4 linked regions of the Danio rerio genome follow. The protein of the gene in region 4 interacts with the protein of the main gene of each other region in a biochemical or structural test. Links are inferred from orthologs where the notes say so. Each region holds a gene or a part of one and is shown on either strand. Other genes may lie near its edges.

Evidence for each region. The genes of interacting proteins can lie anywhere in the genome.
Region 1: the proteins of sqstm1 (region 4) and prkci form a complex in vitro, tested with the Homo sapiens proteins (4 studies listed by BioGRID, with this or other methods). The link is inferred for Danio rerio from reciprocal best matches to the Homo sapiens genes SQSTM1 and PRKCI.
Region 2: the proteins of sqstm1 (region 4) and rnf168 form a complex in vitro, tested with the Homo sapiens proteins (2 studies listed by BioGRID). The link is inferred for Danio rerio from reciprocal best matches to the Homo sapiens genes SQSTM1 and RNF168.
Region 3: the proteins of sqstm1 (region 4) and dnajc10 interact in a test that uses a peptide from one of them, tested with the Homo sapiens proteins (2 studies listed by BioGRID). The link is inferred for Danio rerio from reciprocal best matches to the Homo sapiens genes SQSTM1 and DNAJC10.

The regions. Positions count from the first base shown.
Region 1 is NC_133177.1:40,363,546-40,369,649, reverse strand, and holds part of prkci (protein kinase C iota type), read left to right. Parts: intron 1-3,925; coding exon 3,926-4,047; intron 4,048-6,104.
Region 2 is NC_133190.1:4,300,627-4,306,730, forward strand, and holds part of rnf168 (E3 ubiquitin-protein ligase rnf168), read right to left. Parts: intron 3,819-6,104; coding exon 3,648-3,818; intron 3,446-3,647; coding exon 3,354-3,445; intron 3,247-3,353; coding exon 3,171-3,246; intron 1-3,170. UniProt on the Homo sapiens protein: E3 ubiquitin-protein ligase required for accumulation of repair proteins to sites of DNA damage. Acts with UBE2N/UBC13 to amplify the RNF8-dependent histone ubiquitination.
Region 3 is NC_133184.1:46,685,771-46,691,874, forward strand, and holds part of dnajc10 (dnaJ homolog subfamily C member 10), read right to left. Parts: intron 5,696-6,104; coding exon 5,613-5,695; intron 5,507-5,612; coding exon 5,375-5,506; intron 4,886-5,374; coding exon 4,792-4,885; intron 3,843-4,791; coding exon 3,765-3,842; intron 3,668-3,764; coding exon 3,624-3,667; intron 3,518-3,623; coding exon 3,386-3,517; intron 3,289-3,385; coding exon 3,199-3,288; intron 2,944-3,198; coding exon 2,833-2,943; intron 244-2,832; coding exon 129-243; intron 1-128. UniProt on the Homo sapiens protein: Endoplasmic reticulum disulfide reductase involved both in the correct folding of proteins and degradation of misfolded proteins.
Region 4 is NC_133189.1:19,139,450-19,146,078, reverse strand, and holds the start of sqstm1 (sequestosome-1), read right to left. Parts: upstream 4,432-6,629; 5' UTR 4,302-4,431; coding exon 4,133-4,301; intron 3,858-4,132; exon of another isoform or gene 3,615-3,857; coding exon 3,519-3,614; exon of another isoform or gene 1,416-3,518; coding exon 1,084-1,415; exon of another isoform or gene 1,005-1,083; coding exon 863-1,004; exon of another isoform or gene 410-862; coding exon 329-409; exon of another isoform or gene 216-328; coding exon 37-215; exon of another isoform or gene 1-36. UniProt on the Homo sapiens protein: Molecular adapter required for selective macroautophagy (aggrephagy) by acting as a bridge between polyubiquitinated proteins and autophagosomes.

The DNA.
Region 1 (6,104 bases), on a different chromosome or scaffold from region 4:
TGTTTTTTTGTAATTTATTTTGATTTACATCTGCGGCTACTGTGATTTTTTTTTCTTTTAATAATCACTGCTGTCACTGAATGTTCTGTTCTGTAAAATGTTTTAATGTATAAAAATAAAGTAAAAAAAAATAAAAAAAACAGCTCATTAGGCTACTTGATGTTACAAACTGCTATTTTTTGTTATGGTATTCTACTTGGTTTTACAGCAAGTAGTTTGATTGTTTTCTGACATTAATTATTTCTACTCACTTCTCACATGAATCAGGAGTTCTAAAACAATCGCAAAAACGAACACACTTCCACGTCAAAGAATAAGGTCAATGCTTTTTAGGTTTAGTTTGATTAAAAGAAACTGTGATAGTTGCTATGTTGGAATAAGTGTACATCTTAATGAGTCAGTGACTGTCTGAGATCTGTCCCCCGCAGAAAATATGATTTAAAAGGCACAGTTTGTATTGTAAATAACAAGGCTTTTTGTCCGTAGAGAGAAAACTATGTAACCATTGAGCAGCTCCTGTAAGTAAGGTTACTGTTGTCTGTTTTATTTTCTAAATGAAGTGATTTTTCTCTTTAATACAGATGTTGCCAGTTTATTCCATAATATTGTTATCTGTTTGACAGTAATGTCTATCAATGAGATGGGTTTGGACATTTAAAAAACGTAAAAAATCTGTATTGATTGGTCAATATGTTTTTTTTTTCAACCTTTTGACAGCTCTTTTAATTTGAAATAAAAAAAAAATATATATATTTATTGTCCCCCTGTTGGTTAGGGGTGTAACCGATCACGGTTTGTTAGTGATCTGTACAGATCACAACCCACAGTTCGGAACGCACATGTTTAATGACGGATTAATAACTTTTGAAACTTGTAGGTTAATCCAACATTTATAACAATTGCAGACAGATTGCCTCGAGTGTCATTCAAATCACATGTATGAAAGCATCATGGCTTCCTTGTGAAATATAATGATTATGGATTACGGTTGTGGTGGGACCTACGTAAATGCTTTCTTAGGTTATTAATTAAAAGTGTTTTCTGTCACTGTTTAGCCTGAATTAATGCATTCAGTGTAAAGTGCTGCATTCAGATCTGTGTTTGACCGAGAGAGATTCAGTTTTTACACTTTCAGTTCGTTACAAGCAATTAAATAACACGTAAGTACTGGGAGAAGAGTTTATAGTTCAGATATAGACACTGATGTTTATGGTAAAGACTGAAATCCGGTTTTAAAAAATGATAAAACTTTAATGAAACATGAAACTTTAAGTGTGAATTGTTGAATCATTAATTGAAAATAAAGATGATTTTCTGTACAATATGTTATATTTATATATTTAGCATCATCAGCAAAAGTAGCAAAGATCATTTTTCGTATTCAATATTTTCCTTTTTTTCAGCCGGTTGTTTTTGATTTTAGATTTTTATGAAAATTAAAGGTTCTAAGTTCTGTTTGTTAAAACCAGTGGCTTTTGCACTAATATTTTTGCATAAATTGAAAGCAATTGACATTTGTCTCCTTCCTTTTTTTGATGATCCGAAAAATGGTCCGATCCGTGACTCAAAAACTGTTGTGTCATCTGAACCTGGTGCAGTATAACTTAAATGAATGTAAAATCTGGCAGTCTTAATGTGCAGCAAACACTTGTTTTTTTAATTGTAGTCATGATGTTGCCAGGTATAGTTTAATACCAGAGTCGAAAATGCTGCAATGTTAGCATTGGTAAAAAGTGCCACAGACCGCATATTTACCATTTTGGAAGTTATATATTGAATTGTGTTTTTTTTTAAAAGATGCTGGAAAGTTTAAGGTCATATTTTAAATGTGTTAGAGTTATTTTTTAAAAAGTGTGGTGTCATTTAATGATCATTGTTTGCTTAATGTAGTGTCAACTGACATTCTATAAGCTCATCAGAACTATAAATTGTTTGAAGTTAAAACAAAGTATGAGCTAAACTAGTATGAAAGCACCTTAAATGATGACATCATTTCAGCGAACTTTTCCCTTTAATACACCTATTGTTTGCTTTAAAGGAATGGTCATATTTCCTTGTGTGCTATTCCTAGTATAGTACTTGACTTCAGTCCCCGTAAGCTTCCTTACAAATTCAGGTTCAGAAAATCGTGTTTGAGTTTCTTGTAAGTCGTATTTGACCATGGGACTGAATGTTTGCTCATCATGCTTGTTGTTGTAAAAGCAGTGTGTACTGATCCATGTATGCCCTACAGAGGAATGTGGCTTCGCTGCTTCCTTTCAGAGATGCTGCGCTTTCACAGGATGCATCTCTCACTACTAACATAGTGGGCACAAAACCTTCAGTTATATGCCAGAATATTGTTATATCGTTTATGCAATGATAAGAGTAAATCTGTCTCTCTCTGTAAATATGAACTAAACACTAGTAGTTTAGTAATGCGGAGCTATCATAATCTCAGAGATATTTGTCACAGGACATGCATAACTGCCTTTTATGTCTCGTACAGTAGCTTAATCGTAATAGTCCTGGATCAGATAAAAGCAGCACTTTTTTTTTTTTTGTTCGTCATAAGGTGATGTGTGGGATGGTTGCAGTGGCCGCTCGCAGGCATGTGTGGGTCAGTGCACTGGCTCGTAGACAGGAAAGACTCCCTGCTGTTAATAATTAACCAAAACAGTGTGAACTCGGTAGACAACAGAGAGTAAGAAGCTGCTGTGTGCCTCCTGCTATGGGAATATGCTAGTATTACAGCTTCCTTGAAACTCGCCATCTCTGATACTCCATGTACTGTGTTTTTGGTCTTAAAATGTACTAATATAGTATTTAGATTTCTTTTATTATCACACACAAAATTATTTATCATATTTTTAGGAGGGCTGTGCATTATGATGGTATAGATATATATCGAATGGTCATAAAATAAAAAATGTTACCCTTTATTGTTTATTTCTTGGTGTAATAAATTATATTGTACACAGTCGTACTTTTTCATACTTTATATAAGCACAATATTGCATGCTGTTACAGGGATGCAGATAGAAACATAAATAACCAATGCTATCTCTAGATAATTCAGAAGTTTTTGATTTAGTGGATGGGGTGGGAATTCTTACAATCTCACTGGTACAGTTAAGTACAATTTACTCATCCCCCAATGATGTTGTGTTTAGGGGTGGGGTTGGGTACCATGACTGACAATGCAATTTGGAAACAAATGATGGAAGAATAAGTCAACATGCCTCAATGAAGAAAAAGTTCGAAGTGCATTTTTGATGCATAATAAGTTATAATGTAAATTACTCTGCTTGTAAACCTGTAATCTAACATTAAGTTTGGTTCATGTGATCAGCCAGATAAGTGAGTACCGATCAAATCTGATCTCCAGCCGATTGATCAGTGCATCCCTAATATATATTAGAGAACTATTAATTGATTAAATAAATTTTTCCTCTCGCCCCACCTTAATTTTTCAAGAGTAGGGCTGCACAATATATTGTTTTAACATTGATATGGAAATATGTACATCTGTAGTAGTCAGATTGCAGGATCTGCAATGTTGAATTTGTGAATATAGTTTACCATGAGCCACAGTTATTGAAGATTTATTCCATAATAAAGCAAAAGTTTTTTATTTGCATGTGTTTTTCAGGCCTGTGATTAAAGCATATCAAGAGAGTTTAAAGCATTCAGGCATGAAAATTGTACCAGTCTTTAATAAAAAATATTCAATTGATTTATTTATGCAATGAAATCTAAGCACTGCTATTTTACATTTGATTAAATTCTGTATATGGTTTCATACCAAATCGAGGTATTTAAAGTCATCTGGGGAAATTATATACACATCACAGAAAAACAAAACATTGCATTGTCAGATTTTTCTAATATCCTGCAGGCCTAAAATGTAGGATTTTAATGAATGTCACTTTTTTTTCTGTTTTAGGGACATCATGATCACACATTTTGAGCCTTCGATCTCCTATGAGGGACTCTGCAATGAGGTGCGTGATATGTGCTCCATGGACAATGACCAGCTCTTCACCATGAAATGGATTGATGAGGAAGGTTTGTTGTTTCATTTTTGTGTCTCTTTGCTCTATTCACAGTAGGTGTTTGCATCTGTCTCAGGTGATCTGATCTCAGTCAGTCGAGACAGATTGACATTTACTCCTGGTTAACATGAATCTCCAGTGACTTCTTTAGATCAGGTTTCACTAAAGAGAACCTCTCACTCGTTTCATGATTACACACAGCTTGTTAAACCAAAGAGAGCTTTTACTTGTTAAAACTGAATTTTGGCTATTACAGTTAATTGACCCATTTTTCTAAATGAGCTGTTTTATAGGCTATCGTCTTAGTTGCTTGAGAATAAGGGTCACTTCATGAATAGTTTAATGTTTATTTTACTGTTTAACAATAAAATGCACTTTTCGATGTTATACTAATGCTGAACGGCCATATTAGTGCCAGAATTAATTCAAGACATGATTTTGCTTGCTCCTAGTTGATTCAATTTAGGTATTAAACATAGCAATACTCAGATAGGCTGTGGTGTTCATACGATGCTCGATTGGTACTAATGGGCCCAAAGTGTGCCAAGAAAATATCCCCCACACATTACACCCCCACCACCAGCCTGAATCGTTGATACAAGGCAGGATGGATACATGCTTTCATGCTGTTGACACCAAATTCTGACCCTACCATCTGAATGTTGCAGCAGAAATCAAAACTCAGAGCAGGCAACATTTTTCCAAACTATATTGATGAGCCTGTGCAAATTTTAGCCTCAGTTTCCTGTTCGTAGCTAATAGGAGTGGCACTCAGTGTAGTCTTCTGCTGCTGTAGCCCATCTGCCTCAGATTTGACGTGTTGTGCGTTCAGAGATGTTCTTCTGCATACCTCAGTTATAATGACTGGTCATTTGAGTTCTGTTGCCTTTCTATCAGCTTAAACCAGTCTGGCCATTCTCCTCTGGCATCAACAAGGCATTTGCACCCACAGAACAGCTGCTCACTAGATGTTTTTCCTTTTTCAGACCCTTCTCTATAAACCCTAGAAATGGTTGTGTGTGAAAATCCCAGTAGATCATGTCTGAATTCTTTCAAGACAAGTTCATTCAATTTAGACATTAAACATAATAAATTTTTGTTATTATCATATTTTAATATGTTATTGCATCTTATGCAATATGTAATTTTGTGTTGTATGTCCTGGATGCATCAGCATTGATGATATAAATAAAGTGTGTGTGTTTAACTAACCACAAATGGGATTCGAGTCATCACAAAATCTTTTGCACTTTATTTGAACCTGCATTTAGTGCTGTCCGCTTGATCAAATCCCTTGAGACAGATGTTAATGCCAGGTGTAAACGTGGCCTTTCCTTCTGTTTCTTTAACTGTCGCCGTAGCAACAAGCTTCCTCCTGCCATTCTGCTGAAGCGTCTGCCTCATTTGCACCAGCACTTTATATATTACAAATGAAGCCACTTTTGGCAGATTGCATTAAAGTCTCCGAATTACCCTGGACTCCACCGGCAGAACTAAAATAGATGGCTTTTACATGAGGAATAATGCGAATCTGAATGCAACACACAGCAGGGAGCGGGGTTTTATGCTGGAAAGATTGACTGCGCGCGATGATTAACTGCTGCATTAGTCATGCGAGATGGGAAATGGAGATGGAAGAAAATTCATTTAAATACCAAAATCTTCACCGTGCCACGCTGAGCCCAGAGTCACGCTGCTCATTAGCATAGCTGATCTGAGCGGGCCGTCATGGCGAGAAGTTAATCCCGTCTGTCTGCGCAAGCCTTGGCAGCGATGCCCGCCGTCGCTCATTGCCTTCTCTGTGATGTTTGATTGAAAGCCGTGTGCGTCTGTGCAAGAAGTTGGTGCCACAGGCTACTCTTCAGACAACAGCATTGACGTCAGCTTCGTACAACACCACGGGCCATGTTACGGCTTTATGATGTCAATCGAACAGATATTTTCTTTACGCTCCATATGATCAGAGCGCTCGGTTTCTTTTCTCTTTCTCAGGCCTGCTTAAATTCTCCCTCACTCGCCTCGTTTGTATCTTCGCAATGTCAGTTATGCTGATGTCTTTGGTGGAGAGTT
Region 2 (6,104 bases), on a different chromosome or scaffold from region 4:
TTACTATGTTTACTTTGTTTTCAGTACTTATTTTGATTTTCTCAGACCTATCAAGGTAAATGTGCAATGGTCTCTCTCACATACACAGTAAACTACATCTCACATAAACTCCATATTAGGTTATAATATTAGGCATATTAGCTTTTTTGTTGCACTGCAACTGATGATCAGCAGCAAAATGACAAATTTGACCTCTTCCCAACAGGGAAAACCGAAAATTACAATCAAAATACAAAAAAAAAAAACAATCAAAAATTCATAATAATAGGGTGTCATGACTTTGCAATGAAAATATGTCATTATAAAGAAAGTCAATGGGGCAAAAACTGTCACCAACATAATGAAAGGGTAGTACATTTGAGCCGTGTGTATTGATGAGATGAAGCATTTTCCCAATATTTGTTTCACAATAAAATTTGTTGACAGAAATTATTTCATTTGCTGAAACAGAAAAAGTTGTGGCCAAATTAAGACTGAAAATCACCCCAGAGTGGATAAAACATCCCCAAAAGCACACAAGGGATAAATTCAAATTAGGGACATCTCAAGCTGATTAAAATTTAACAGCAACTATTTCAGCTGTTTTTGGTCAACACATTAAGCTGAACTTCCTAACAAAAAGCAGCGTGGCCTATGAGAATTAGGTGAAGGGTGTTGTTCACATGCACATTTGACTTTTTAAAGCACCATTAATTTCAAATCAAACACCTTTGTAATTCCTACCCCAGCATATGTAGCCCCATAAAAGTTCATGCTGTAGTTCGCATTTCATTTATAATTAATATATTTCATAAAAAATGCCAAGAGTAATTTTGAAAAATCTACCATTTTAAAAGTTATGTTCAATTTAATACACTTTAATTTAATTCACTCTAATACAATTTGTAATACTGGAGACATTCAAATGCGGTAAACGTGCATTATGTCTGTTATTGTGCAAGATTTATAATTTAAAAACATCTCTGCTTTTTCATTCTGTTTTCGACAATTGAGTACAATTGTTGAAATGAAACCATAAACAAATTTAATATAAGCACTTTCAAGGACCTATGTTTGTTTTTAAGTATTTTCCGGGTCTTGAATCCATATGTCTGAAATTCAAGTATTTTTAAATACTTTCAAGTAGTGTAGGAACCCTGTGAGCACAAGACCAGCCTCTTAAAGATCATATAAAAAGCTTAACTAGAATAAAGAAATTATTAAATTTACTCTACCCTCAGACTACAAAAAGTGGTGGTCTGTATCAATTTTTTTACTCCTGTTTTCCAGTGTGTATGTCCAAACTCTAAAATCAAGATCCAAGCAAGGCTGCAACTAACAATTATTTTAATAATCGATTAATCTGTCGATTATTTTTTCGATTAATCAAATAAAAAGAAAAAAGAAAAGCAATCATTTGCAACCCTTTATTTAAAAATAAAGATATATAATAATAATAAAAAAACTAGTTTTGTCCTGTTTTCAATCCAAATATCTTAAGGTTTTTAAATGAAGATACATACTAGACACATAAAATAGCATAAGAAATCACTTAACCTCAAAATTAAGTAACAGCTTGCTTAAAACAGGAATGTCAAACTCAATTCCTGGAGGGCCGCAGCTCTGCACAGTTTAGTTACAACCCTAATTAAACACACCTGATCAAACTAATTAAGTCCTTCAGGCTTGTTTGAAACCTACAGGTAAGTGTAATGGAGCAGGGTTTGAACTAAACTGTGCAGGACTGTGGCCCTCCAGGAATTGAGTTTGACATCCCTGGGTTAAAACAAGCTAAATTATTTGCCAATGGGGTAAGAAAAAATATCTTAATAAGATATAATCTCAAACAAAAGTTATCAGTATCACTTCATTTTCTCATGCCCTTTTTCTTGTCTGTTCTTGATGGAAGATTTTTTAGATATTTAAACTGGAAACGAGACAAAATGACTAAAAAAACTTTTCTGCAGTGCAGCTATACATGACTACAGACGGAAAAAAATGGCGAAGTGAATAAAAATGTGTCTTTGGTCTTGAAATGCAAAGTAACTCTACCACCGCTGCTTTACTGCTGTTATTAACTCTTTCACTGCTGAGTTTAAAAGATTCTCTCTGGCCCGGGAGTCAGTTTTTTTAGAACATTTACCCTTAATGTTTCCATGGCGACGTACAGCCATGTATGACAGATGTATCCCTTTTATTTAATTTTTTTATTAGTTTTTAGTTTTTTTAATTCAACATATTTACACACTTGCTCATCATGTCATCAACTACCCAATATTCCAATTCACATAAACGTGTAAGTGATCGTGATCTATTGACCTTATTCTAAAATGCGGAAGTGCGCCTGTTTTCGCGATTGTCTTAGAACTTCCGATTCAGTCACCTATGGGAGAAATGACTAGGAATAATAAACGGCAGAAAACGGTCAAACTACTTGCTCTACAAACAAATGTTTGCATGACTATACAAACCAAGTAGAAGAATATAATAAGAAAATATCAAATTGCAACATCAAGCAGCATAATGAGCAGTTTTTAATGTCTAAAAATGAATGGAAGTGAATGAGACCGGAAGTCTCGAGCCAAAAAGATTCAAATGGCAGCACCCGCTCATAGGCGGAGAATAAGGTCAATAACGTGGCGCTGAACTCTGTATCAGTGCGCGAGAGACAGAGAGAAGCCGTGTGTGCACTCCGCTTCGCGCTGAGCTAAAGTTTTCATTATTTTTTTTTTTTTTAATCAAACGTCTCCATGTCGCGTGACACGACGAATCGATAATGAAATTTATTGCCAACGCTTTTAGTAATCGATTTTTATGGATTTAATCGATTTGTTGTTGCAGCACTAATATGTAGTCTTGTTTTCAGACACACTGATCTAAATCATGCGAGTTTAGGCGTCAACTCACTTTATTTTGTTAATTTTCTAATTTTCTCAGACATTTTTACTGCATCTAATGCGATAACGTCATGAAATAGAGGCTTTATTGCTTTAATTTTTGGAAGGGTAAATTTAGACTGCAAAAAAAAAAAAAAGATTAATTTAAATACTTTTTCTTTACAATTATGTATTTCAGATTTCTAAAATGAAACTATGCTCTTCAAATGTTATCAGTTTGCTTTATATCATATCTAAGAAAGATTTCTGTTAATTACAATAGTAATAATTTCATTTCATTCATGCATAAATTACCTTATTAGCCATCAGGGAGGAGTCTGGGCTGCTGTCAGAACTGCTTGGCTGTTTATGAGGCACTGGACGCAAAAACCTGGCATGTAAGAGAATGCAGTGCTTTTCATAACAGCTCTTTCATCACATTTAACAACAAAAACCAGGATGACACTGATGTACTTGGGCTCCACAGCAGCTACTCACTTCTCAATATCCCCCACACTTGGTTTCTTCTTAGCTGGCGTAGCTTCGGCAGGTTTGATGTTGCATGTTGATTCAGAGGCTGGTCCTGAATTCTGCTCAAACAACATAAAATAGATATTAAATAGCTCCAAATTCAAACCGTTTCAATGAGGGTCACAGAGCAAATGAACTAAACCATGCAGTATAAAACGGTCATTTATTAATGTCTGTTTAATGTCCATTATGATTTTTTTTTTACATGTTTGAGCAGAGAGGAGTGTGTCAGTGAACGTGTCTCGGCTCTTGTAATCTCACCAGTTCTAGGCTGAGCAGTCTGGCCAGTTTCTCATCGTTCTCCAGCTGCAGCTCTTCTTTGCGTCTCCTCTCTTCCTCCAAGCGCTCCTCTTCCTCTGCCAGAAGCCGCTGGATGTACTCCTCGCTGGCTCTCCTTTCAGCCTCCTCCAGGGCTCGCTTCTCCTCCACAAGCTGCACAAAAAAACAGGAAATCAGGTGATTAGATGAATTTTGACTTCATATGCGCTGGTGCACAAGACATTGCATTGTACATTAAAGAAAAAAAATCTGAAGGGGTCATATTATAAATTGTAAAAATTAAAATATATACATAAATAAAACTTTGAGGATGGACATTACTCACTACTATTTTTTGAGGTCAGGTAGGTTTTATTTTAAACCTAGCTAGCAACCAAATGTGATAGTGGCAGGGCTCGAAATTGCGACCATTTTGGTCGCATATGCGCCCGAAAATTTATCTATGCGACCTCATAATATATCTGGGAGCATTAGTGCGACTGCAGATAATGGTTGTAGTGCGACCTGTTTTGATTTTTTGTAAAAACGTGCTGAATCGCTCTTCCCTGCCGCTATATTGGTTCATATTAGCTGTCATTCACTCACGGTATTCCGCTGTCAGATGACAGGGAAGGAGCTTTTATGACCACGGGAAATGCAAACGGCTGAAGAGTGAAAACTTAAAGCACACAGGTTTGCAAACCCCACCTAAAGTTGAGGCGCAGATAAAAGCGATCATGACACGTCACGTGGTGAATAATGATCCGCCAGCTGAGATCAATCGAGTACGCGCTTCTTGGAGAAGGTGCCTGAATCTCCATGCGTTGCATTCACTGCGTGTTCAGCGCAAATGTCCGCTAAAAGTCAAATCTAATACTGTACATATCATCGCCAAAGAAGCTCGCCTTTACTAAGGTAACACTGAAACTGCGGCTCATAACAAAGACCGGTATTGCGCCGATGGTTAGCGCAAGAATCCTGCTCAACCTGCTCATAAATTGGGTCGGCTGACTCGCCAGCTTTTCCACAAACACAGAAAAATGAAGATCACCTTAGACTGAACCTTTAAATTGACACAAACTGAAACCAAAACTTTTAAAGAGTGATAGAAGTGAGACTTTACTTATTTTCTTTTGTCTATTCTTTTTTGAGGTGTATATTATTTTTTTATTTATTTACTGATGACTGCTTTGCAGCTTTCATCATTGAATTGAATGATTTATTATAATATTTTGTTTGTTTTGTAGCAGAAATATTATTTATTAAATTGACATGCATATAAAAACAGCAGTACAAAATAAATATTTCTTACTGCAATGCTTCATTTGTTTGATGCAATCTATACAATTATTTTTCATAAAGTAACAGACTTTTTATAGCAGATAACCTACATTCATGCACATTCAAGGCAGCACCATAATGAGAAATGAAATTCATTTTTACTATTATTGTCATTTTTTATCATCATTAATATTCTATGGCCTAATTATTAGACATTCATTTTGGAATTATTGCACACAAATATCAATGTCTTCACAGCATTAGTTAGATAGTTGTTTCTAGTTTTTGTCAGTCCTATTAATGTTGTTTTAAAATACAATAAATCCCTTAAAAAACAATTTGCAGCGGTGCTCATTCATTTTTGGTGGGTGCTCCTAAATATTTGAAGTTGGGAGCACCGGTGCTACCAAGTAAAAGAGTTAATTTCGAGCCCTGTAGTAGAGACATTTGTAATGTTACAAAGATTCCAATTAGATGAGCATGTTGAAATTATTTCTAGTTTCCTAAGGCTGCTTTCACACCTGTGAATCGATTCAGTTGTTCCGAAACAGAGATTACAATTGTTACATTGTTGCTCTTTGCTCTTGGAGCGGTTCGCTTTCACACTGCAAAGTTTCTAATCGGAACAAAAGAGCTAAAACAAGTCACGTGTGAGTAAACTCTCCTCAACTTGGTCAGAGTGTCAGGGTTTATTTTCCAGTGTCCCGCTAAACTGTCAGGAGAGGTGGTGGTTTGGTGGTGATTGACAGGGTGCGCACGCGACGTGTCTGAGGGGAGATGCGGTGGGGAGGGGTGAGAAGGGTGCGTGACGATGCCTATTTGAGGACCGGGAGGGAGACGCAAGATTACCGGGAGATCATCACTAATTGCGGGCATCCGGAGACCAGTGAAACTTCCCGCCATACTCGTAATGCTCTCTTCATATAGCCATATGCCTATTACATATCCATAAAACACTGTGATATAACCGCGCTCGGATCGGATCGCTTTCTCACTGCAATCAAACCGCTCCAGGGGTCGTTTCAATCGAGCCGAGACCACCTCATTCAAGCGATCTCGGAGCGATTACTTTGGCGCGGAACAGAGCGCGATTGCCCTGTTCCACGAACCGCGCTAACTAGGCAAACGAGACAGGTTCCGAAACAAAAGTGTAGGTGTGAAAGCACCCTAAGACTGAGG
Region 3 (6,104 bases), on a different chromosome or scaffold from region 4:
TTTTTTTTTTTGCAGAAAGAATTTTATATAAAGATTTTTTTCTATACGCATCATTCATACATCAGAGCATTAAAAAGCACTTGTTTCAGTTATTAAGATTAGTCCTATTAAAGCTTGTCTGAACTCACCATGGTGGATCTCAAAATCATGAATTCCGACTCCTTTAAAAACCGCCACGCAGGGCTTATGTATGTACAGAGAAGAACACAGCTCAGAATCTGAGATGCAGTCCACTTTCCCCACCTGTGCAAACAGATTAATGCAATGAATCAAACACATCATCAGTTATATGATCAACGAACTGTGTAAAACAGCAGTAAAAACAGAGGTGTTTTCAGAATGCATGTTAACCTATTGTAGTTGAGATTCAAATAATATCATGTATTTTTATTTATTGTCAGCAAAAAAGGCTATTTTCATGGCAAAAAAACTATTTCATTAATAAATAAACAATTAAAAAAACCCAATCAAATAAATACATAAATTAGATTAATTAACGGTAATACTTGATAAAAATTTACAGGTGGCACTGCTGAATATCTCCTTAAGTGAGTTCATTTCATAAAAAACCCTTCTGCAGTGGCCAAAAGCAGGCTAGTCCAATAGCAGTGCTTCCCACACAGACTTTACTTGGGTAGGGAGAATAAAGTATATTTAGTGGCACATTTTGTATTTTTTCACTTTCATTAACATCCGTAAAAAAATGTTTGTATACGCCCAATATAACCAAACATCTGTGATCCATTAAGTAGTGGAAAATCTTCTCTCGTTTAACCGTTTCATTCTGTGTTGCTGAGAACTGTGAACACTCCCACAAGACGTCCCTCTCACGTGCTCTGCAGACCCACAGAGATGTTCCTTTTAAGGATTAAATCTCCTAAAATGTCCGGGATTCAACTTTGGCTTTTGCTCTCTAAAGCTTGTATATGTTTTTTGCATCGCCTTTTTACGTAAGCCTACTTTTTACTTGGCTTCGCAGCTGACTGTGCATGCACAGTAACCAAAGAGAAACATTAAATAATTAATTTTTCTTTTTATCTAAATGACTCACTGAAAAACTAAAACGAAAAACTTTACTATATACTTAGAGAGGGTGAAATGTCTGGTCTAAATAAATGCACGTTTTTAGTAATGATTAAAGGTGCAGTAGCTGATTGTCTTCTGAAAATTATTTTGTTGTGCTGGTTAAAAGTCTCTTCACAGTCCAATTCACCTTATTCTTTGCCGACGAGCGGGCGCAGCCATTTTAATCTTTTTGGCTCGAGACTTCCGTTCACTTCCATTCATTTTTAGACATAAAAAACTGCTCGTTTTGCTGTTTGATGTTGCAAACTGATATTTTCTTATTATATTCTTCTACTTGGTCTGTATAGTCATGCAAACATTTGTTTGTAGAGCAAGTAGTTGGACCGTTTTCTTCCATTTATTATTCGTAGTCATTTCTCCCATAGGCGACTGAATCGGAAGTTCTAAAACAATCGTGAAAACAGGCGCACTTACTAAACTGGATAAACTAATAAATGTTCATCCAGTTAAATATTGTCGGGCCGACATCTCCCATAATTCCAATAAGTAGCTCAAACTGTCTGTCAACAAATGCAGATTTGGCTTTTGCGCATCTGTTCACGCATATCCGCCATTAGCGTGTGCACACATAGATAATCGTTCATGACAAAAGCACATGAGACAGTCACCTCTGCGGCAAAATCAAATGCTGAATTGAAACTTTTTAAACTCCTGAATGAATATTGGAGTTACTTTTGCACGCTGGAGAAAGGACGATACTATGGCTAAAGTATTTCTGTTAGACAGGTAATGTTCTGTTTTAAAACTATTTTAGCTTCACACAAAGCTGATGCAGATGTTGTCGCTTCAAATGGGTTATATGCACAGAAGTGTTGTTCACCCACTGAAATCCTTGATTAATATGAGTATTTTCAGTTTCATAAGGAACTTTTACAGCATTGATGATGTAGATTCTTCTTTAGTTTAACAACAAAACAGAAGTAAATAGCGCTATTCCGCCTAGCCTGCTATACTGAGCTGAAGTTGGTTTTATATTCACATTGGGTCATTTCTGAACAATGACAGCCATTCTGAACAATGACGCCCTGCCGATATTGTTTACCTCTACTCTGAATATTCATTTTGAAATAGCATGCAAGTATGGCTAAGTAATAAGTGTAATTCCTGCACGCCGCGAGCCAACCACTACATACACTTCTAACTGGCGAATGACATAAGCTAGTGGGTTGTCTGCTGTCGTGTTGCTATGCGTGCGTTCGCAATTTCAAGAGGCGTGGCTTTAAAACAGTCCCCTGCCGCCCAAAGCTAATATGCTAACCGATTAGCATTTTGGCAGATCACCTACTGCACATTTATCAACGCATTTGCCTTATTTAAATAATCTACAAGTTTTAATCTTGTAAATATGACAATTTTTAGAAATATTGTCTGTTTTTAGAGATATTGTCTGGGGTTAGGGTTTGATGAAAAGTACTCAAGCCGGGATTCGAACTCGGAATGCCCTCAAGTGCTACGGCACTATATGTCAGCGCGCTAACCACTAGGCAATTGCGCTGATTAAATTAAATTTTTTAAAACAGAATAATGGATCACTTTAATAAAATACTGACGTGCAGATATGGTACACGGCACTATATGTCAGCGCGCTAACCACTAGGCAATTGCGCTGATTAAATTTAATTTTTTAAAACAGAATAATGGATCACTTTAATAAAATACTGACGTGCAGATATGGTACAACAAAAGAATTAAAATATTAATAATACACAATAAATGTATAATTCATGAATAACATTTATCAGGAACCTGTATATGCGAGTTCTTCAGAAGAGCGTTGAGTTTTTTATACTCGTGTGAAGCCAAATCGTTGCGTCCAAAAGAAAAACTGACAAGCCATCGGTGATGGGCCAATTTATGCTGAAATGACAAAGTTAAAGAACATATTTAGACAATTATAAAAGTAATAAGGTATATTTCACGAAACTTCCAAACAGAGCCACACAATGATATCTGATCTAGTTAGTGCGTGTCAGTTAGTGTGTAAACAGAGAGATACTGCAGGTAGTGCTGGGTGTGGTACAAGACTACACTCACTCGACTGCAAACACAAACCTATTATGTACAGCCTTTCCTTATTCTCTTGATATGCATTGCAGTCACTTGCACTCTTACCTCAAAACTGCTCTTTGTGAGAATCTCCAGGTCAGGAAGATGCTGCAGAACTTGTGCATATATTTCTTTAGTATCCAAACTCTGAATAAACTGCAAGGTTGGTCAAAATTTAAATGAAAAACACCCAATTAGATCCGATCAATTAGAAAACAATGCATCTAAACAGGATATACAATAATTTACCCACCAATACACTGCCTTTCTGAGTGAGAGAACTGCCTGGAGGGAAGAGGGCTGTAGTGCTGGTATTGATTTCAAAGCTCTCACACAGATCCGCCTGTTTGGTGCAGTCCATCCATCCTACATTAACTAAACCGTCCTGTATTGTAGAGATTACAATGTTCATTTATGCTCACATGACAGTAAGAGCCATTATTAAATGTTTAGACATTGGAATTGAATTTAGTAAAACAGGGAACACTTACCAACATTCCTGCTAGCTTCCGTCTTGTCTGTGATTCCAAACAGTCTGTGAATGAATCTCGTTTTAGTGATTTTTTAAAAGATGAATAACAGGGATTTCTAACATTATTTCTAACATCTAACAGGATTAGTTGTAGTCTCACCTCCAGTGTCTGCACAAAAAGTTATCAACCAGCCGATTCTTTCAGCAAATGCTCGCTCAATCTCACTATAAATGTTGCCTAAAAATTAAATACATTATTAAATACACAGACAATGCTCAGCATGAGTCAGAGGCAGTACAATATTACAGCAGATAATAATATTTTTAGCTTCTGGTACTGTTCACTTGGCCATTTTATTACATGGAATGAATATGCCAGTAGGTAATTTACAATATTTATACACAAAACATTTCTGTAGTTTTAAAACTGGGATAAACACATAACATGCTAAGTAACACTTAGCACTACATAAAATTTATCAACAAAAAAAAATTTGTTAATTTAGCATTTAACCCCTTAATAAATACACCACTTTCATTATACACTCATTGGCCACTTTATTAGGTACACCTTACTAGTAACGTATTGGACCCACTTTTGCCTTCAGAACTACCTTAATCATTCGTGGCATAGATGCAACAAGGTGATGGAAATATTCCTTAGAGATTTTGGTCCACATTGACTTGAAAGCATCATGCAGTTGCTGCAGAATTGAAGGCTGCACATCCATGATGCAAATCTCCCGTTCCACCACATCCCAAAGGTGCTCTATTGGATTGAGTTCTGGTGACTGTGGAGAACATTTGAGTAAATTTTCTCTGTTTCAGACCGTTCTCTGTAAACCCTAGAAATGGTTGTGCGTGAAAACTCCAGGAGATCAGCAGTTTCTAAAACACTCGCCCGTCTGGCACCAACAAAAATCACTTTTTTCAAAATATCCCCATTCTGGCATGTCTTGACCATGTCTACATGCCTAAATGTATTGAGTTGATGCCATGTGATTGGCTGATTAGAAATTTGCATTAATAAGCAGTTGGACAGGTGTACCTAATAAAGTGGCCAGTTAGTGTAAATAACAGAATCATAACAATCTCAAAAGAACATTTAACTAAAACACTTGCATTAACTCTTTATTTACTACATCACCTTTGGCTTTAAATGAAAATATAATTATAGTATTAAATACCTTGCCATAGTTCCGTCACTTTACTCTTCACAAACTGCATTGCAAATTTGGTAAGGCTTGATTTTGTTCTGTCATTGAAGTATTTCTCAGGATTCTGTTGGCAAGATTATGTTTATTATTTTGGATGACTACAGACATTAAACATATAAATGAATATTACATTCATTCTGTACATACACATGAATTGCATACTAATATATAATTTGAGCATCTATAACGCAATGTGTGTATCTGCAATAGCTAAATCGCAGGATTAGATTATTTATTAAAGATTAAAAGATATTATTAAATATAATTTATTATTATTAATACAATGATGACCATAATAATTTACATTTGATTGTTCAATTTCTGTACTTGAATACTGTTAGACTCCCCAGAAAATCATAAAGCACTGTTTAGTTATAATTTATGCTGATGCATAGCATAGAAAAAGTCTTGATCCTTCCAGGTGATATAAATGAAATAATTCCAAATAGAGCTAATTATATTAATTCATATTGCAATAAATATAGCATAAAGACTAAATATTGCACTGTAAGATTTTTCCAATATTGTGCAGCCCTATGGAAAATGCTCTTACCATTCCTGCTCTGAACACATAGAGGCTGGGGTAACTGTTGATGCCTTTACTGCGGCACAACATGCCATTATCACCACAGTTCACAGCACCTATCCGAATCACACCGTCCATTTCCTTAGCAAACTCCCGCCACTGTAGGGTTGATTCACACGTCAGTCAGATACAGTACAGTGTGACTATAATAATGAAACGTGTGAGGAGAAAGTGATTGTAAGTGGGAGAGAACAGAATTACGCACCGTAGGGGCAAGATCGTGACAGTGTGAGCAGCGTGGGAAATAGAAATTCACGAACCAGACCTCCCCAGAATTTACAGCTGCATCTGTGGATAAAGACAAAACCGGTGTGTCAACACTTAAACACTGGCAGAAGCTGCTCAGGAATCTATTTGACCACTGCAAGATCAGCTTAAAAGAGGTCATGGGTGCGTTTTAGATCTAACTTGATAATTAACAGGCTGTTGAATTGAGTTTTTGTCAATAAATACTAAGCACATTTCCCCCTCCAATTCTCATTGGTTAGTATTAAAAAGACAATAATATTTCTTTTAGTTTGCCTGAAACAATTTAGTTTTATTTAAATTTAAAAACTGCTACAATCAATATTTTTAGTCCCCATTAAAATTATATACATACGTTTAAACACACAAACACACATACATAGTTCTTTTTAAGAACTTTCGTAATTAACATAATTAACTTCAGATAATACTTTAAACTGTCCTTTAAGCA
Region 4 (6,629 bases):
GATCAGGCCTTTTACAGCTAAGAGGGTATCTGTTACCTTTGTTCCCTCACTGACGCTCTCTTCAGTGGCCTGACTTCCTGGACCAGAGCCTCTAGAAAGAAGCCCCACAGAACCACTGTCACTCCGAGCACTGGATGGTCCACTGGAGGCAGGAGGAGTTGGGGTTACTTTGGTCCGCTTTCCCTCATGCTCAACATCGATGTCCACATCTATGCCTACAAAGGAAAAATCACTTTTATTTCAGAGGTTTTGCCTAACATGCCAATCAAAGAAGTATCAGATTGTGTTGGAACCAAATATTTGGGAAAGACCAAAGCAGGCGACTTACCAAGGGGGCTTAACATGGCTGCCACTTCTTCTCCGATGTTCTTTAGGTACTCCACGTTAGCCTGAGAAGAGGCAGTAGCACCTATAAAATAATAATTAAAAAAAAAGAATAAAGTCAGGAAAATTTTGGACATGCCCCAATTCTGTTCCAGTTCCTCCTGTTACAATAGACCAGGGGTGTAAAACTCAGTTTTTTGAGGGCCACAGCTCTACAAAGTTTAACTTTAACCCTAATTAAACAAACCTGCTTCACACAGGTAAGTGGGCTTGACAAAACTACCTGTAGAAATCACACTCCATCATTTTGACACTTTAACCGACACTTGCATAAGACACATTACAAAAAAACTTTACATTTGAAGTGTGCTTTACACAGGTGAGTGGGATTGACAAACCACCTGTAGAAACACTCTTCTTTCTATAAAAAAACACACAACCTACTCAGTTTCAGGGTTGGAACTAATCTCTGGAGGGACTTCAGCCTCCAGGAGCTGAGTTGACTTCTGCTATAGACCCTTTTAAATGATTGGCTTACCATTCTCATTTGGGTTTTCAGGAGCATCCTGGTTTTGCTGCGCTCCAGATGGACCTGGCTGAGGCTGGTTTTGAGCCTGAGCTTGAGCATTTGCCCACATGCAGTGTCTCATCTTACGCCAAAATTTCCCACGAGGGAGCCACTGCACACAAAAGATTAATCAAACCAAAATATTCAGATCATTTGCAGTGTATTGTATGTAGTAAAATAGTGCTATTCACCTCAAACACGTTGGCCATAGGATGAAAGATGGGCAGGAGGGCATGCTCCTTGTGCAGGCCTTTGCTCTGGCAGGTGGGGCACAAGTCATAATCGGGGCAAACGGTGCACTTGTAACGGGTTCCAGCCACCGGCCCATCACACCCGTCACAGGTCACACCTGGGTGCACCATTGGGTGAGGGTGGTGAGGAGGACCCCCCATATGAGGTGGTCCTGGAGGCCCCATTGGAGATGGACCCATATGACAGGGACCAGGAGGGCTAAAGTGAGGTGTAGTGAACGGAAACCCAGGAATTCCATGAGGAGAAGAATCACGTTTGTGCTCTTTTCGTTCTGAAAAAGAAGGAAATAACATAATTGCTATTAATTGAAGATGTCTATTTGCAAAAGATCTGAGATATTCAAAGGCTTGTATGGTCAAAGTACGTAATGATGAATCCAAGATGAAAAAGTATTCACACTCTTTAAATCTAATGTCATCATTAGACGCTCTTTCCAATCATGTAATCTTTCCAACCTTATAAACTGTGCACATGTAAGTGGCAGGTGTTTTAGTTTTATAGTATTCTAGTACTCAAATAACAAGAGTGAATCCAAGAACCAATCAAAATCTTCACAAAAGATCCTCACTAGTATTCCCTTATGGAAAGAAAAAGGTTTTCAAAAATATTTACCCCCCCCCCCCCTATTTGAATAGGGCAACGAAATATTGTTCTCTACAAAGTTTTATTGAATCAATCTCTGATAGACTCCCCATCAACCAATCACTGTTTGCATAGTTATTAAAGATGCTGACGTCATCCAGAGCAACAAGGTTGACTACGCCTTTTGCTCTTAGCTCATGACTTCTCTCTATTCCTAAGTAAGTTTGTCTCAGCAGCTTGAGAATAAGAGAACGCTTACACATGGAAGTTAAGGATGAAGAATACACTTTGATATTACAAATACAATTACTCCAACTGCTCTGAGTTAATCTAGTCTTCATAACGCAACAACAATGTTTTCAAAGCCTACTAACTTGGATGCATTCAAAAAGTAGCATGCCAGAATTCGCTGTATCTAGTAATATTCCAAAGAATGCATCAGATGGAAAAATTTACCTTCCCATGAGATCATGGAAATGTTTTGAGAATGGCAGCGGAGCAACACAACTGGTAGATGTCTTTTGTAACTTTACGTCACTTCACAAATATAATGTGAATGCAGTCGGTGCAGATTGCATTCATACTATATAGAACACGCCTGAAGCTAGTTATTAAAAGCACCACCTACAGAGAGTATGTGATTTTGGATGCAGCCAAATATGATTGTTTGTTAGGTTCGCTCTGATATTCCCGTTTATGGTTTCCTTGTGACAACAAAATGGATTTGTAGATTCTATTTAGGCTTACATTTACACTTAAAGTCCCAAAGAGTTGCACCACCCACACATTATTGACACTTCACTGTGTGTACATTCACGATAGTCAAACTGCAGGATTTAAAGTAAGGCGGTAGCAAAGGCATCACAAAACAAATACAATGTGTGAATTAATTGTAAACCGTGACAATCACGAGTGAAAGTTTATAATTTGCATGGGATTTTAAGGCCTGTTACTCTGTAAACAATATAGGCATATTTACAGAATTTAGGTTGAATAAAATATTAAAGGTTAACAGTATTTTATTTATAGAATAAATACTATACAGGATTATTTTAGATTCGATTATTTTCCCCCTAACATCATGCAGCCCTGACAAACACACACTGAAGCCACGGTCTATGCGAACTTCTAAAGTATTTTAGTGACTTCATAGATCTGGAAAAAGAAATGAAAACCACGTCTTTGACCCTTATGAGGTATTGCTAGCCTAACTGCTACCTTTAACACAGTCGTTTTGTTTTTTGATATTTATTTTTAACAAACATAGATATTAAAATTACCATCTAACATGCTAAACTCAAACTAAAGTTTGTTTGCGGCGAGTAATAAAAAGTTGCAACAGATACATTCCAAAAGCAAATTCAAGACATGGTTCATCCCAAAAAAAATTCACCCTTCCTTGACTTTTTTCCCCCTTCAGCTAAAGAAAAAAATGGTTTTTCCTACTATGGAAATCAATGGTTACTGGTTTTCAGCTTCCTCTAAAATTAGCATTTTTTATTAGGCTCCTGTGTGTATGTTCAGCAATTTCACTTTTATAGAAACTATTCTCAACATAAAAGAGGCTGAGAAATTCCAGACAGCACTTATATATTTTTTTTTTTTCAAAATGTAGAAATTCTATAACTACTTCAGTGGGCGAGTACATTTTCATTGTTGATTAAACCATCCCTTTAAGTCTAATGATCATTTAATATGTGCAGGAAATTATATTTACAGGTATAACATAATATTCTTAAATAATCGAAACCCCTTCCTAAAATGGTAGTTATAGTTTGTGTATGTTACTTACGCTTGATGAAGAGACGGAAAGTGTCATCCTTCACAAGAGCCAAACCCATCATTAGCTCATCGTCAGAGGAAAAGGCAATCATATCACCATCTTCATCTAGAGACAAAGTTCAGGAAAACAGAATGGCATTTCTGCTGGTTATTATGATTGTCATCATGTTTTGTCTGATTAAAAGTTGATTACCACACACAACAATAACAAAAGTTTTTGCTGTTTTCTTTTCAGTAAGCACAGTGGATTTCAAATATTATGCTCATGGCTTGTTTATTACGGCCTAGTACAAACGTTCCCCATCAAACTTTGTACTTGGATGTAACAATAAACAAAGATGTTTCACAATGCAGTATCCATTTTAATGGCTCAGTAATACTGAACATAGAAAGACATAAAAATCTGCAAACTATGTTTCTCAATATGTACATTTATGTGCGTTTTCCTCAAGTTTTTTATTTCTAATATCGCTTCGTGAAATTTTATTAAAACTTCAAGTAACGTAGATAAATATAAACCGCCATTTCAAGTAAAACATTGAAAGACGACACAAACACACACTTGCTTGTGCAATAAATCAGTGTTATTAAAAAAAAACATTTCAGAATTCAAATTTGACTCACCTTTATAGTACATTTGGAAGGGCGCAGTCCTGAGACCGACAAAAACATCGAGCACTTTTCGCTGCAAATACTCGAAACTTGTTGAGACATCTTGATCCACGGCGAAGCGACGGATCTCCTTGTTGCAGTCCTCCTTACCGATAAGGTAAGCTTTCACTGTCATCGACATCGTAGCGGAAAATAGCTTCTCTCCCTGAACCTCTGGAAGTGTTGCGCAGTAGAAAATGCGTTTCTCGAGCACGGGACTCTGCGTTGGCTGCGTGAAAATGCGTTTCCTACTTCAGCCGACAGTGCTGTATATAAGCCTTGTACGTCAAATGCTAATGCAGCCGAGGAGCCGGCCAATCGTTGAGAGGAGCGCAAGTTTGGGGGCGTGTCTTCGCAGAAAGATGTCCACGTCCAGCGTCATTGCAGGACGGAGTTCATGTTGTCTGTGATCATGTGAGTCACATTTGAAAACAGAATGGACGATTTTCGGTGATCCGAGGAATGACATGGCAATATGATAGGGGAAATTCCCGCTGAAATCATAGGAGTGGATTAATGCCAAAAAACGCAGTGTTATATTCAAGGGCTATAAACATACATGTTCTGGATGTCATGTAATACTTTATACAAATTGTAGATTTATTTGGCTTAATTTTAGTTGTTTTAAGAAGTGAATATCAAACAAAAGTTCTTCTGCTATACTGTAACAGTCTCACTGTTAAACATTACCCACATCCATTTTTTTAAATGCCTACATATACAAATGTGTGGTAATATTTTTGTTTTAGTACAAGATAAACTTGGTTGCTTTGTTTGAAATCCAGTTTCTCATAATACAAGCTCTACTAAGCCCTGCAAGTTTGATGTGGTTGGTAAGAGGTGTTGTGTTTCTGCTACAGGTGCTAAACAAAGTGCTGCGTCATCATGAATGAAGTAGCAGTCGCCATTTCCTTAGGAAATGTTTGTCAAATGTATACTGATCAAATTTTAAGCTTAAACCTCTAGGAAACATTACACTACCAAACTTACGTTGTTTATAATAAGGAAACAACAATTTGCCAATGCTTAATGCATCCGTTTTTTTTTCAGATTTTTCTTACCATATATAACCATTTTACTCACCACAACCTCATTATATATATATATATATATATATATATATATATATATATATATATATATATATATATATATATATATATATATATATATACATATACACACACACACACACACACATATATATATATATATATATATATATATGTATATATATATATATATATATATATATATACATACATACATACATACACACACACACACACACACACACACACACACACACATATGTATGTGTGTATGTCTGTATATAGAGATTACAAATGTTTAATGTACATGATGACAATCTAGTATTAGTAGTTTAGTAACAATGTTATAACAAATATTAATTAAATTGTAAATGCATTATTGTTCATTGATATGTATATTATATTAAAACAGCAACAGCAGCAATATTAGAGTAATAATGATTATATGCCTAGTACTAGTAGTAATAATTATTATTATATACAAATATTAATATCCTTATTTTTATTTATCTACACATACATTAACTTTGATTTATCCACATTTATTGATATAACAACAACAACAATAATAATAATAATTATTATTATTATCATTATCAATAACATTAAGAAGATGAAGAAGTTTCTTTTATATAGCTCCTTTCTAAAACAAGGCTACAACATGCAGTCTCCAACAGTGAGACAGCATAAAGAAGCTCTTACTACATTATGCATAACAAGATACAGAACACGGGTTCATGAAACCTTCCAAAAAGAAAGATTATTATTATTATTATTATTATTATCATCATCATCATCATCATCATTATTATTTAATTAATTAGGATTTGTATGACCTTGGATGTTTTGGCCATATGACTGCAATGTGATTTGAGATAGAAAAAAGGAGACTAGATATGAGTATACAGGTGAGAGTGACACATCACGTTCAACTTTGACATGCTCTCTTATTACTCCAAATTTCCCTGGAGTGACTCTGTATTCTCTAATATTCTCGAAGTGTCCTCACGCATCTGATTGGGGAAAGCATGTTGTCATGGCTGAAGGGCGTGGTTTATCACCTGATTGTGACTCACGCGCTCATATGATTTCCTTTGTTTACATCAGCGTCACTGGAATCAAATAACACAGATAATAAGCTCAGATCCACCAAACCATTTTCCCAGCAAAACAGAACATAGCCAACCATTATGAACACTTCATTTGTTTTGTTTTATGAGTAAAAATATAATTGCATATATTCACTCGGTTTGGAAAGTTACACAACTTTTTATATATATATATATAACTGGTTGCCTTCTCTTAACGTTACATGTGTTACTGTATTTATGTATGAAGGTGTGTTTTATATTTAGACTATTTGGCCAAAAATAAAGAGAAAACGTGAATAGTATGGAGATATTATAAATGAAATATTG